Regions from separate parts of the Mus musculus genome. Here region 2 is reported to be linked to region 1. Evidence: microRNA targets listed by miRTarBase, many of them from high-throughput screens and not tested one by one. Region 1 holds a microRNA gene; the other region holds the end of a gene's coding sequence.
The links. Region 1 holds the annotated microRNA mmu-miR-9-5p (UCUUUGGUUAUCUAGCUGUAUGA, at 2,859-2,881, opposite strand). A microRNA usually pairs through its seed, bases 2 to 8, with sites in the 3' UTR of a target mRNA and lowers its output. Matches are read on the target gene's strand: a 7mer-m8 pairs with bases 2 to 8, a 7mer-A1 pairs with bases 2 to 7 and ends in A, and an 8mer does both.

Region 2: miRTarBase lists Mmp16 as a target of mmu-miR-9-5p. Seed matches in the 3' UTR shown: 7mer-A1 at 5,766-5,772.

What each region holds. Positions count from the first base shown.
Region 1 is chr7:79,501,041-79,508,159 of GRCm38, reverse strand. It overlaps Mir9-3 (microRNA 9-3), which reads right to left and starts at 2,896; the gene lies at 2,807-2,896. The region is part of intron 1 of Mir9-3hg (Mir9-3 host gene); the gene reads right to left. It overlaps Gm51285 (predicted gene, 51285), which reads left to right and starts at 2,824; the gene lies at 2,824-2,881.
Region 2 is chr4:18,115,421-18,122,539 of GRCm38, reverse strand. Mmp16 (matrix metallopeptidase 16) reads right to left here. Exons shown (of 11, transcript NM_001379519.1): 11 at 5,061-6,653. The coding sequence ends at 6,319. Among named protein-coding and RNA genes, the nearest start is that of Mmp16, 270 kb to the right of the region's middle.

The DNA.
Region 1 (7,119 bases):
GGACAGGATGGGTGGGGGGGAGCAAAGGCTGAGGACCCTCCAAGCTCCCCAAGGAAGCCATAGGCTAGCTAGGGAGGTTGATAAGGAACACAATTTTAAGCCTGTGTCTCGGGCTCCAAGGGTCCTGGGTGGGATTTGAACATCTCTCTGTTAGGATAAAATGGATGGGCTGGCACCCCTGAAAACCTTTTGTGGTGGGTGTGAGATAAACTCTGTGAATCAGAATCAGCAGACCCATTCCATCACCACCACCACCACCTCCTCCCTTGAGGCCCTCATCTTTTCCCTAAAGTGCAAGGTTTGTATCAGCAGATTTCCCCCTTCATAGAAAGCAGTAAAAGTCCTGCACTGTCTCAGGCTAGGACTCTACCTCCATGGGACTCCTAATGGGGGGACTCCAGCCTGCCTGGACGGCAAAAGAACCAAAGGCGACACACATTTGAACTACACCTAAGACACAGTCGTGAAGCTATGTGACCACCTTGGTGTAGGAAGGACTGGCTCTTACAAAAATAGCAAAGGAGAGGGGCCAGGGAAGAGAAGGCTCTGAGTACCGGGGCAGGCTCTGGGGAAGCCCCAGCCCATCCGTGAGACGTGGAGGCAGGGAGTGCTGGGCAAGCAGGCTGAGAGAGCTGCTCTGCTTTCCTCAGAAATGAGGTCACCACCAGCACACAGGCTCCCAGGTGCACCAGGAAGGGGGAGCAAGCCCAGTAGATGCAGTTGGGGGGAGGGAGGCTCCTGGGTCCTCAAACACGCGAGTGACCCTTCACAGGCCTAAGAAACGGGAAGGAAAAGATGAAAGGACCTCGAACCCCTTCCTTCCACCCAATGAGTCCCTGAGAAGGAGGCACAGAGACAGCTGCTTTCCTGCCACCGCGTTTAATTTTGTCTAACATTCCAAGGCAATGCAGTGAAAAACTCTCCATCTACCGTATGGAAGCCACACCTTGCCCCTCCCCAGACCCAGGAGGTTCTCCTTTGTATCACTGAATTTATTTTTACTTTTACACAAGTCACCTTTTTGTTGTTAAGATAATTTTGCTAAGCAAAGGGTGTGGGGGGGGGGGAGGAACGGCTGGTAGGCACAAAGATGGAAAAAGATTTCTATTATCACAAGGGGGCTGGGCAGGTTCTGGATAGAGGCTGAGAGACCAATCTTATAAATAACTAAGGCAAGAGGCTCTTGGGATTGAACTGGGCCAAGATGGAGGTAAGGTGACCTAGGTAGTGCCCACCTCTGCACTTCTGCGCTGTGTGTGCTACTCCCTAAGGAGTAGGCCCTCACCCCCCAGATCTGCTTCCTTAATATGTTCAAGGAAAAGAAAGCGGGTCAAGTCAGGATGGTAGCACTAATCCTTCCCAGTCAATCTGCTAAAGCATGTATACACTGATATGTGCCTTAAAGAACCCCAAAAGACCCCAAGCCTTAAGGTATGTGAACTGACTTTGGATCCTTTCTTCCCTACACTTGATAGGGTCCATAGCTGGGTCTACATCCACCACGCGGGAGCCCTAATGGTTTCCTAAGTTGCAGGGGGCCCCAAACTTCAAGATAAGGAAAGAGTAAAGGGAGTGGCAGGAAGGAGAGGGACCTGAAGGCAGAGAAACCTCAAAGGGACCTTCCGCTCCTTGTGGGGCTAAGAACCACGGACACAGAACATTGGCACGCCCCACTCGCAGCGCCCAGCTAAGAGGGACCTGGAGCTTGAGTGGCCGGTGTGCAGCATTGGGTTGCCATGGGAACGGAATTCAGATTTTTTCCCCCAATTGCTTTTTTATTTGCTAGACATTGTAATACATCTTATGTTGCCATTTATTGGGGCGGGAAGGAGAGGAGCTCCAGAGAGCCTGGCTTCCCCCTTAACCAGTTGGGGAAGTTGGGGAGGCTCCGGCCCCAGCCGTCCGACCAGAACTATAGAGGTTTAGAGGATCTGGGCTACGTCTCTCCCGCCCAGCAGCCTGCTCTTGGTTTGTATGCAGGGCAGGGCCGGTCGGTCGGGGCGGGAGGCCCCCCGCCTAGGCCCCTTGCCATTGAGTACACTCCCCGCCAGTTCTGCTCCGCTTCACGCTGCACACAGACCCCCCAACTGCACACAAAGGCAGCTGCCAGAGCCGGTGAAAAGTGATCAAATTATCAAGAACTTGACCTCACCGAGGGGCGAAGCTCCAGCAACCCCCCAGCCGTATGCTAATGGTGCTCAGGGGCTGACTCGTCGAATAATTCGATAAAGGCTGCATTGTTAGCGGCAGGGCAGCCCCCTGCCCACCCTTTTACTCCCCCTACACACTGCCTACCGGTCTCTCTCTCTCTCTCCTCTCTCTCTCTCTCTCTCTCTCTCTCTCTCTCTCTCTCTCTCTCTCTCTCTCTCCCCCTTCCTCTCTCTCTCCCTTCCTCTCTCCCTTCCTCTCTCCGTTCTCTTTCTCATCGCATTTGCATCCCAAAATCCTAGTCTGCAGCTCAGGGCGTGGATTGTTCTAGCCTGATTTATGGGGTGAAGGCAAAGGCTGGCGCCTTCCCCGCCAGCGACCCCTCTGCAACCCCAGCCCGTTCCCTGCCCCCAACCCACTCCACTTCGGGGTTCCAGCCTCGGCGCTGGGAAATGGTGATGGGGGTGCAGGGACCGAGGAGGAGGTGAAGGGAATGCCTCCAGGACACGGCAAGTGTCCCCAGGAGAGCCGAGGTCGGATACCTGGTCCCGGCGTGGCCGCTCCGTCGAGCTGGAATCCCTGGGTGGCGTGGGCTTCTCTGGGCTCCTCTGGCTCCTGTGGCCAGGGCGGCCGGCCGGGCCATCGCACGCAGAAGTTGTGAGAGTCATTTCTACTTTCGGTTATCTAGCTTTATGACGGCTCTGTGGCACTCATACAGCTAGATAACCAAAGAGAGAAACGGGCCTCCCATTCGCCGGCACCGCTGCCGCGCTGTGGGCCCCACGTGCCGCCGCCGACCCGGCGCGGGGGCCTGAGCGGACTCCGCTCCCGCAGCCCCGGGCGCACGCGGAGAGCCAGAGGGGACCGACAGACACACAGACACACGGACTCCCGCCACCCGGATCGCCCAGCTCCCTTCCTCCCTCGCCCTCGCGATTTCTCCATCCCCAGTTCCCCGTCCAGTGCGTGCGCGGCCCGCTTCGACGCCGTCCCGGGGCGCACTCGGGTAACCGGCGCTCTGCGCTTGGGCAGCCTCGGGCGCCCTGGCGGCCCCCAGCGCACTGGACCATCAGCCCTCCTCTCGCAGGCTAATCGCCCCGCGGGGAAGTGACGTCAGTCGGGGGATCGGCCTATCACGGGCTTCCATTCAAATCCCAGCCCCCTTCCCGCGCTCGGCACCACCCAGCCTTACAATGGCCTCGGCGTTCACGGCTTCTGCGCCGCGAGGACAGGGGAGCGCCTCTTCTGCCCTCAGAAGCCTTAGGCCTGCTTGCTTGGATGCACACAGTCTGGCCTTTCTCTCAAACCTCTCTGACCTCCCAGCAACGTCTTAGGTGCCTGGCAGCCACCGCAGACCACCAGAGTTAGAGTTTGAGGGAAGAGGTTTAAGGTCGAGGTCTCTCCAAGGCAACCAAGTGAGCGCAGGAGAGGCTGCGAACCGGTCACTTTATCCTTAAGGTCTCTCTTCCTTTTTTTTCTTGCCCAGCACTGTACAGACACCGCGGTAGAGACTGGGGATTAAGGGAAGGAGTGGGTGTCTAGATCAATGTATCCCATATATATTGCCTGACTTGTAGGGATTCCCATGGCATGCTTCGCTCAAACCAGGTCCTAAATGTCGGCACCAGATTGTTAGCCCTTTCCCTCTGACCATTCCTAGTACAGCCAAGGATATGTAATCAATTGTGCCCCTGCGCCTTAAAGATATCCAAGGCCGTAATTGGGCTCCTATTCACCTCCCATAAAAATAATCAGCTCCTGCCATCTTTCTGCTCACAGCACACCCTAGCCCACTTACTCCAAGTGACTTTACAGGGCAAAAGAATTGACATTTTGAGGTTTCACAGTAGAATTGAGCCTGGCCACCAAACTGAAGTCCCGTCTCAGTCTCCTAAACGTGGTGGTTTAGAGGTTGCTCACCTGAAACCCATCCTGTCTTCCTTGCTCCTGTACACCCCTCCCACTATGAGCCCTGATTCACCCCCTTCACCCATTCCTGGGAGGCAAAGGATTAAATATGAAAAATTCGATATCTCCTTCCCCCCCCCCCAGTCATCCCTAGAAAGATCTTAAATCCAAGATCTAGAGATTGACTTAACAATAGAGTGGGGGTGGGGGGTAGCGGGTTCCAGGATTCCAGCAGTGACTATGAGGGAGTCCCAAAGACTCTCTGTGCTAAGGCATCCCCAAAGCAGCCCAGATTTGGTGGGGGTACTCATTCAGATCTGTTTTGGTGAGGCGGGGGGGGGGGCACCCCTTACACACTCTCCATCAGCAAATCCCATAAGGCTGGGTTCAAAGAATAGGCCCAAAGTGGGTGATTTGGAAGGGATCAGGGAATTTTTCTAAAGGTATCTAAAGCAGTCTCCCTTAAATGACACATCTGGATTTTTTTTGTTTAATACCAGGCTTTGGCACCACACCTCTGTACCCCGTGCTTGTTTTAGATTCGTCCTATTTTTTATCTTGACCCCAAATCCAAGGTGGGCTGCATCCCCACTGCCATCCCTGTCAGCCAGTGAGCAAGCCAGCTAGCAGTTACACACCTCTTTCCAAATGCCACCTCACAGACAAATCCTTGTCTCAGAAAAAGGACACAGGCTAGACTGAAAAGCATCAGAGAAACAGAGGGGCCGACCTACCGACAGCAAGGCCCAGGAAGGAACCTCGAATTTGGGCCTGCCTGGTTAATTCTAAAGGATTTTTCATAATTAGGAGGTGTCCCTTTCTTCTCCTCCTACAGCCTCTGGAATCTACACCCTCTTCCATTTAGCTGTGTGTCTGTCAGTGTGGGCGGCCTCCTGCGCTCTAGTCCTTCTGGGCCACCCTGAGCTTGGATGGGTGGAACTGAAGAGGCAGAGGGAACTGTGCAAGCACGATTCACCTGAAAGAGGGGGAGGGAGAAGAAAGAGGGGGAGTGGGGAGCAGGAGAGAGGGGAAAGAGAGAAGGAGCGTTCTCAGAGTGTGATTTAAGCAGGACGCTGCACAAAATGGCTCCTCGGCTGTGAGGTTCATGGTTATAGCACGCTGGAGCCCTGGCCTGAGAGCCTAGGGCTGGTTAGGAGTCTGGGAGAAAGACTAAAAAGCTTGATTTTGCTTTCTGTTCAGGTAAGGCAGGTTAGTGCCACCAAAGCCACATTTCTGTTGTCCTTTAGGAAACCATGTCCCTTGCCAAAGCAGGTGAGGCCAGCCAGGCAGAGGTTCCTACACCATGCTGGAGTGGGCTCTGTCTCCAGTGTCCGGGTGCATGAAGGTGTTATCAGCTCTCTCTCAGGAAGGAGGCCACAGTGAGTGTGGGCCTTGGGTCATCCATTGCTTGCCCTTTGGAGGATGTTCTGGTGGGACAGGGCAGTAGGTAGTCTCCTTGAGCTAGCAGCCACACCCATGTACAGGATGGGAAGCCTCCAGGTCAGACCCAGCAGGGACACATTGTTTGGGGCTGAGCCTACCCACGGAGGACCCAGCTGACTTTGGCTCTGATTGTCTTTTCATCTTCACACTGTACTCTGGGCCGGGTCTAAGTTCGCTACACTTCCTCCTATATCAATCTCTTGCCTCTAGCCTACTGTCCCTAAGTCCCAAGAAAGAGCTGGCAGTGGATCTAGAGCTAGAAAACCCATGGTTGCTGACAGGCCCTGGCCATGGTGCTGAGAACTGCCCACCCGGCATTTTTTTGTCTTCAGCAGTTCACCTAGCTCAGAAGTTCCTTGGTCTCCAAGTTGTGGTTTGAAACCTGAGTCCTAAGGGTGCCTACAGTAACTTAGAAAAGCAAGCATCCAGGGGGACGGCCAGCACTTAGACATCTCCACCAAAGGTTGGAGACTCCATTTTTCATACTCCTATTTTCATAAATCACCACAGAGGGACAAAAATCCTGCGCTGAGTTCCCATATCTGAATCTACAGAAACTATCCACATGTGCCCTAGAGCCCACTGAAACCTACCTTGCATTTTCTCCCACAGTCAGCTTATGAGGCCGCCCCCAAGGCTGGCATGTTACTTGTGCATGCAGATCTACATGCACAGTACAGGAGTGCTGTTGCGCCTGCTGGCAGGCATCCACTCCATGAACTCCACTTGCCTCGACTCCGTGCTTCTATTCCCTGTCGGTAGTTACTCCGCTTATGAGATAAGGGGTTCCGAGAAGGACAATTCACACCCTCACTCACAGTAGGGTGCAGATACCCTTGTCCTGCGACCAGGACCTTGCCCAGATCCTGAGGCTGGGAGCCTGGGGCTGGTGGAGCAAAGCAGATGCAGCCACTTGGCCTGCCATTCAGCCTGGCAGCAACGCTCCCTTTCATCCCCCTCTGGGCTGTAATTAGGACACAGAATCTCTAGCCACAGCCCAGGCTGATTCCAGGTGCCTCTTCCCCCTGGCAGCTTTTCTCTCCCATCCCTTCCTTGGGCTCAAGCTTTGATTAAGCTGATCTTCCTATTGTCTGGAGGCTTGAAGGGCTGTTCACAAGGAGACCCAGCTTTGGGTTACCACAGATGGAGCCAGTTCCCTGTACCCAGAGGGTACAGAGGCCTCCACACCTCCCCTCAAACACACATGGCCGATTGGACAGTATCTTCCTTTCTGTCTTTTAACCTGCCCACTTCCTCAACAGCTGAGGTGAAGGCAGGCAGCAGGGTGTGGGCTTTTCTAAACAGGGACCTCAAAATACCTTCCTCAAAATGCCAAGCCTTTCCCGTGACCAGCCAGTATTGCTCCTGGAGGCTCCTGAGGTGCACCCCTATGTCTGTGCCTACTTAACCTACCTCTGACCTCCCTTGACTGAAAGCCAGACCCTCAAACTCCAGACCCCCTTAAGAACCTATCACACACCCCCAATATGAAGAAGATTCAAAGAGGGTCTCTCTCCCCTTGAAGCCCAGCATCTGGCCTCTCTGCCACAATGGCTCAGAGATTGTATTTTTTTGGATGTCTTTGCTGCTCCAGAGATTTGGCCTGGAGCCTCTCCTTGC
Region 2 (7,119 bases), not on the chromosome of region 1:
GGAGCCAATCTAGCTTCCTGTCAAGTGCTACAAAGAAGTCCCTATGGAATTTTCTTTTAATGAGCAAAACAGGTGAAAGAAACGGTAAAAATGTCTTTGTTGGCCAAAATGTTTTTCCTTTTTGTTGTTTTATATTTTATTCTTTCTCAGAATTCTATCTTTCCATTTCCTCATTGAGAAAAAAAATATTAGTGATATTTACTTTGAAGCTAAGTGGCCTAATTGGAAAGAGTTATATTTATAATTGATAATTTTTTCCCTTCTTAAGGGCATACATATATAGCTCTGTGGCAGAGCACATGGACGCGTCATGAGAATCAGCACAACACTCTAGCTTGTTATGTGTATTCCTCAAGGGCCCAGTGTGCCCTTTCATGGAATGACACATAGACCTCACATCTGAATAAAATAATTCATTCTATGCTAATATAAGAAAAGTCTTATATTATAACAAAGACTTACTTCTTTTATAGTTGAAAGACATAGAATCTCAGATCTCTCCACATATAAATGCCCTCCATATATAGTTATTTATGCTTATGATGTACTGATCACAAGTTATTGATTCTGCCCTATTTCCCTTAAAAAGCATTCATTACAAATGCCAGTGAAGCTTTTGTTACAGCACTAAACTCCTCATACTCCTTTATCACTACTTAGAACAACTTAATTCATTTTAAAGAATTGGTGCATGTCATGTTCTGTTACCAGTCAATAGCTGTATTTAGACATTGAAAACTGCTACTTCTTGATTTTTACCAAAAAATTGGTGGGAATCATGAAATACAACCAGTGATTTTTTTTCCTGAATTTCTGTGACTGTGTCATTCTAGGCTTTCTATACTGTTGGATCATATTTCAGGGTAGACATAGTGAAGAAGACATTGATAATTAGATGTTTTTGATATGACCAGAAATATTTCAAAATCAACTCAAGCTTACACCAATAGTAAGACACAAGAAATGATGTGAGTGGACTGAGTCTACTGTTAGATCAGACTGGAACACTAAGGCAACCTTTGCTACTATGCCAAGTGTTTTATATAATATGATTACTGAGGTAAATTTCTATCCTAGGGAATGGCTTTTTTTTCCCCCACAGGGTTCTAACATCATTCTGACTGCGGTTACTGAGTGAATGCTTTTAACTTTTAATATAATGGGTCTATGAGGCAATGGATGAGTATTAGATGTGTTTACACAGGTGACATCTAATGGGCACTGACTAAGTATATACATTGGTAAATTATGTACTCATTCCTGGTGTGAGGAGCTTGAAGTTTCAATTTCTCTGCTTTTTTTCATCCTTGCTGTAGTTAATCTTTCAGTTGTAATATTACAGAGTGCTAGAGCATGACTTTGTGTTTTACAAAAGATTCATTTTATCCTTTTTCCCTGCCCACTCTACTTATAAAATGTTGCTTTCATATCAACAGTGTGGTATTCTCCTCGATTGTTCGTTTCTTTATTACTAAGTTCAACCTTTAGAAGAGACTCATTTAAACTTTCTTCTTAGGCAATAGAAAAACTGCCATTTAGACTACTAGCCTCTAGCACTTGTTTACTGTACTTGTTATGTGTCAGTATTGTGGAAATCACTGACATTATAAGGAATAGTCAGATTATACCAATAAGTTGCTAGACCTCTTCATTGGTATCATAGATTAGTGGAGATTGTATTTACAGCTCTTTGTGATAGTCACACTTGTGATTTAAATGGTATGCTGTGTCTTTGACAGCTTGGAATATGCTCTTATGGTATCAAAGCTTAAACATTTGGCTGCGATTACTGTAAACACTTCCTTGCCATCCCCAGGCTTATTGAATTATATGCTACAATCTCACAGGGTCAAAACTATCAGCAAATCACTGCCTTTATTTGTTTTGGGAAATAAATACCAAGTACCTAAAAAAGAAAATGATTATTTTCATGACTTTTGTTTAACATATCTATTCAAGTATTAACATCTATTCTATTCCTCTTCAAATAGCACATTGAGTTCAATTAATATGGGCACACCAGTTTATCAATTGTAAGACCCACATGAGAGGAGTCTGAATTTGTGCCGTAATTAGAATATAAATACAACATGGAGAACTTGAGAATATTACATTATACTTCCTAGAACCCAGTATATACACCTTCATCCAGATATCACAATGAGCAGTAGACCTGGTCAATATTCTTAGCCACTGCATTGCATTCTATTTGGTTAATTCACAGAAATGAAATAAAATTACATGTACAGACTTTGAAGAGCCAAATTATGTGCTGATGAAAGAGATTGTAGGCAGCTTGAGTAATAAAGGTAATGTTTTCTTATGTCAGTAAATTTGTCTCTATTTTTTATTACTTAGTAATTGCCTCTTAGTGATCATTACTAGGTAACTTATTACATGTGATTCAGAAAAGCCTTGTTAACTGATTAGTAACAAAAGCTGTATTTGTTAGGAGCATCTATTGTATACTGATTGAGCCCTATAACCTTGCCATGGCAATGAACATCTGTTTTCACCTGCTGTTATAACCATCTCTGCAGAAACTTTGTTCTCAGATGAGTTAACGATTACCTAAAATCAAAACTTTATCTACCGAACTGATGTGGAATTACTGCTTTATAAAGAATTCAAACTGATAACCTATCTTAGTATTTCACTTAGTCTGATTAATAATATACAGACAAACAGTATTTACCTGAAATTGTAAACTTGAAAATTATTTTATGTAAAATCTATTACCTGGTTTACAGTTGCCTTCATATTTGTTAAAGTAATGAAAATAGTGAAAGAGATGAATTACTTTATGAATACAAATATGTTTTCATTTCACTTTTGGAAACAGTAGGGGTGACCTTTATATGTTACTCATTTAGAGGTTACAGAAAAAACTTGATTGGTTGACTTTCACTGATATTAAGCTGACATTATGGTCTTAATCCAAATAGCTTCATTTAAAAAAAGTTTAATTGCTATTTTCATCACCGATCATTTTCGTGATTTCTCTAGCATTACCTCATTTTAAAATACAAATTCCAACCATATGAAAAGTCAGCAATCATATGAATGAAGTGTCTGGCATATGGTGAACAAAGGAAGCCCAATGCTTTTGATCACATTCTCCTTATTTCTTATCACTTACGATCTTATAGTGGTCCCAATCAAGATAGTAGACATAGAAGCCACTTTCAGTACATAGACTTCCCACATTCAAGGCAACAAAACCCAAATCATATCCATGATATTTACCAGAATTGAAGCATAATAAAGACTCATCCATTTTCAATGCTATGATTATTTTCTAGCCCTTAGGTACTTACAGTCTTGAGATGAATCAGGGTAGTGTGATGAATGAATAAAGAGGCAATAAATTGCTTATTGATTTTCTTTTTGATTTTTGAGAGAAAAAAAAAGTTCAGTGCATGTTGATAGAGTTCCTCGATGATTTGCACATGTCCCAAAAAGGTTACAGTTACTCACTTCTATTATTAGAAAAAGAAAATGCTTCCAGTCATTTTTTATTTTTTCTTGACATCAAGGTCCTGAAAGGATTAAACCCTCTAACAAGCAAACACTGTATAAACAGGCTTATGTATACAGTCCTCCATGCTCTGTCATAACTAACTATAATATTCTCATCACCTAGAAAGGAAGTACTGAAGTAGAGCTACAGCGCCGATCCTTGCCCTCCCTGTGTTATTTACCCTCACATTCAAAATCATGAATGTCTTGTTGAAGTACAGTCTGCATTGCATAATGTGGTACTATGAAGCCATGAATCCATTTCTCTTTCCTGTTTCTTTTTCTTAGTTTTACAAAATATGCTCGGATTGTAGGAAACACCATTCTGCCAGGCTTTTCAGCATGCCACCCATGATTAAAAATGTCCCCAACCAAATCATAAACATGTAGTTGAACCAAAGGCATTCTAACTTTCATGCTATGTTGAGTATAAATATAAATTCAAGGCAGCCAAACTATCCATTTCCAAATAAGAATGTATACCTACACTCATTAAAAATCATCTGGAAATGTGTATTATTAGCAAATGAGTAAGAAATTTTCACTAGTATAAAATTCCTGCTTTATATAAAAGCCACACTGGCCATTCAAGTATTTGAGGTTTTTTTTTTTCCTATTTTTTTGTAATTTTTACTAAAATAATGAAATTAAGCTTGAAATTAAAGAAAAAAAATACCTCTACCTATAGGGCATATTCAGAGTGTGCATGTAGAGAGCAAAGCGCCACCTGCAGATCCACTACTGAAACTCTCTCTCCACTCGAAGGAAACAGCTCATTTACTAGGTTTTAGAGAATCACAATCCAGTGGAGAAGTGACACCAGATTTCCTTCAGTTTGTGCCAGTTTGCAAGTTAAAGGTCAAAGGGCAAAGACACAGAACAGGGCTCTTCAAGGAACATTTTCACAGAAGACAGTGTTTAAGTTGTTGTTAATGACAGTCAACAGATCAATATCAAGTTCAAGGCAAGCTGTTCATTGTTTCAAAAGCTAATCCCCTCAAAAGCTGGCTTTCACACAAAGCCAATTGTCTGACTCATGGGGTGCTTTCCTTCTGACCATCTCTAATAAGTTCACAGCCCAGTGGCTGCAAAGCCATTCACTGCAAGAAGCAGCTTCTAAAATCAATAAAGAGGTCTGTCAGTTGCTGACTTTTCTCTAGGAAAAAAATATTGATATGATCCTGCTCTGCAGGTCACATGAGAATGACAATACTGCTGTTAGGACAAATTACACTCAACAATGGGATGCTTTGGTGTCTCTTGGCTTTGTCAGTGATCAAATAGATGGCTAAATGCCAGAAGCCACACCAACCCTTTGAGAACTATGGCTGACATGCGATAGGTAATGCATTGGTAGGTATTCATGCAACTCAGAGTCATCATTTTAATTCAGTCTTAACCAAGCAATGCTAACTGCATATTTTATGGCAAACAGATTTCATGCAGTGGATTTTAAATAAAAAAAAAATCAATATGTCTGAAGAAGAAAAAGCTTAGACTTTTCTAACCAATTATTCAAATAAAATTTCACTCTCATGAGATACTGTTAACAAAATATCTTTTTTATTTGCCAGAAAAGTTTTGGCAAGTCACATCATCGTTGTTATAAAAGCATTTATGCAGTACTGTCAGTCATTAAAGAGTTACATGGGATTGTAAGGTATGCTTTACAAATCTGAACTTCTCGAAACCTGTGATGGCTTTCCCTTTTGGCCAGTTCTACAAATGACCAGATTGCAAGACTGATCATCCTGACTCTGTAAGCTGGTCCGATAGTTCTCAAAGGGTTCCACTGATGTATTAAAGAGTAACAGATCCTTATAAAATAACCATCACCTTCTTTCCTTCAGAGACACAATACTTCTTGCTCTGCTTTGCGCGGAGTATTGCTGACAGACCAATGGACGGCCTGGGACAAAGGCCTAACACAACTGGGAAGAACATCACAATGATTCTGGGTCAGGAGGCAGGAGGGGGTTCAGAAATATTTCAAAACAACCGAAAGGTCCTGTTTGAACACAGCTATGAGTATGGAGGTGATGATACATTGTGGACATAGTTGAGAACAGCTGTAGAAAACGAAAAATGCATGTATTATTAAGGCTGTTACTATATTGCAGATATTTTGGCCCCTTGTTTGTTGGAAAATGACTGTCCCAACAGTCTAGCATCCTGCATGTGTTCCAGATCTCCCACCTGACAAAACGATGTGCAGGAGACTATCCATAGTGGTCACAGAGCTATCTTCTTTGGAGACAAAGCTGTTTTGGATCTTCACACTTTCCTGAAAGTTCAATAGTGGATTTTGTTGTTTTTTAAACTCTTTCTTCTTTTGCCTTAAAGCAAAAACCTATGGGTTTTTTGATTTGCTCTTTTTGTTTTTCTTTCTCTCTCTCTCTCTCTTTCTCTCTCTTTCTTTCTCTTTCCCAGAAATGGGCTCAGATTTCAGAAGGAAATGTATTTTTTAAAAAATTAAGAAGAAACTTTTCTTCTATATTTCCTCTTCTTCAGTTAATCCTGAAATTTTACTGGGCATTGAGCGTGCAGAGGAAAGGCCTAGAACTGAATGACAAAGAAAGACAGAGGACTGGAGAACAGCAGATACTGTGCATCACGGAAGCTTCTCCATGATTATATTTCCACTCATGTGCAGGACCAGCAACCATCTAGGTTTGGAAGGTCAGCCTCCATCAGGCTGCCACAAGCCTGCTCCTAGCTAGGAAACAGCATAACAGCTCTTGTCTTGAATCTCAAGTTACCACAAACTCCCAGAAAAGAAAGAAAAAAGAAATCCCTACATCACACCCACTCTTGCATAGAGCGTTTACAGTACAGTATGTGGCGGGGTGTTCCTTTCCTCTTGAACTGGAACACAGTGTAAACCAATACAAGGAGGCATAAGGCCAAGATGCAGGGAATGACAATAGCTATGGCTTTCACAGTGCTGGCTGTGTTGTCCAGTTTGATGACAATGTCTACATCATCTGGTGGGCTGAGTCCTTCTTTATCTCGGTCTGTTGGTCCATCACAGCCCATAAAGTCCTTGAGGATGGATCTTGGATAACCAGGTTCTACTTTGAGTATCTGATTGTTGAATTTCCAATACTCCTTTCCTTTGTAGAAATAGGTAAAGCCTGGAGAGAAAACATACACAGAGGTACCACTCATTTGTGACTGTATATATGCATATAGATGATAATGAAATAGGCAACTTCTCAAAACATGTAGCTTAATATCCTAAGTCCTTTCAATTTCTAAGGGAAAAAAAAAGGTTATCAGCTCAACTATCTTGCAAAGGCTGTGCATGCATCATCCAGGAATTGTGTCTGTTTTCTTTTTCTATCCCCTTCCCTTCCCTTCCCTTCCCTTCCCTTCCCTTCCCTTCCCTTCCCTTCCCTTCCCTTCCCTTCCCTTCCCTTCCCTTCCCTTGCCTTCCTCCATGCACCTTCTCTTTTCTGAAAAAGGGTCTAAGCCTTGATCCCAAGCTGTCTTAGAACTCGCTAAAGAGTGCAGATTGGCCTCCAACACAGGGCAATAAGGATTTTTTGTTTTTGTTTTTTTTTGTGTTTTTTTTTTTTACCTAATTCTCCCCAGTGCTTG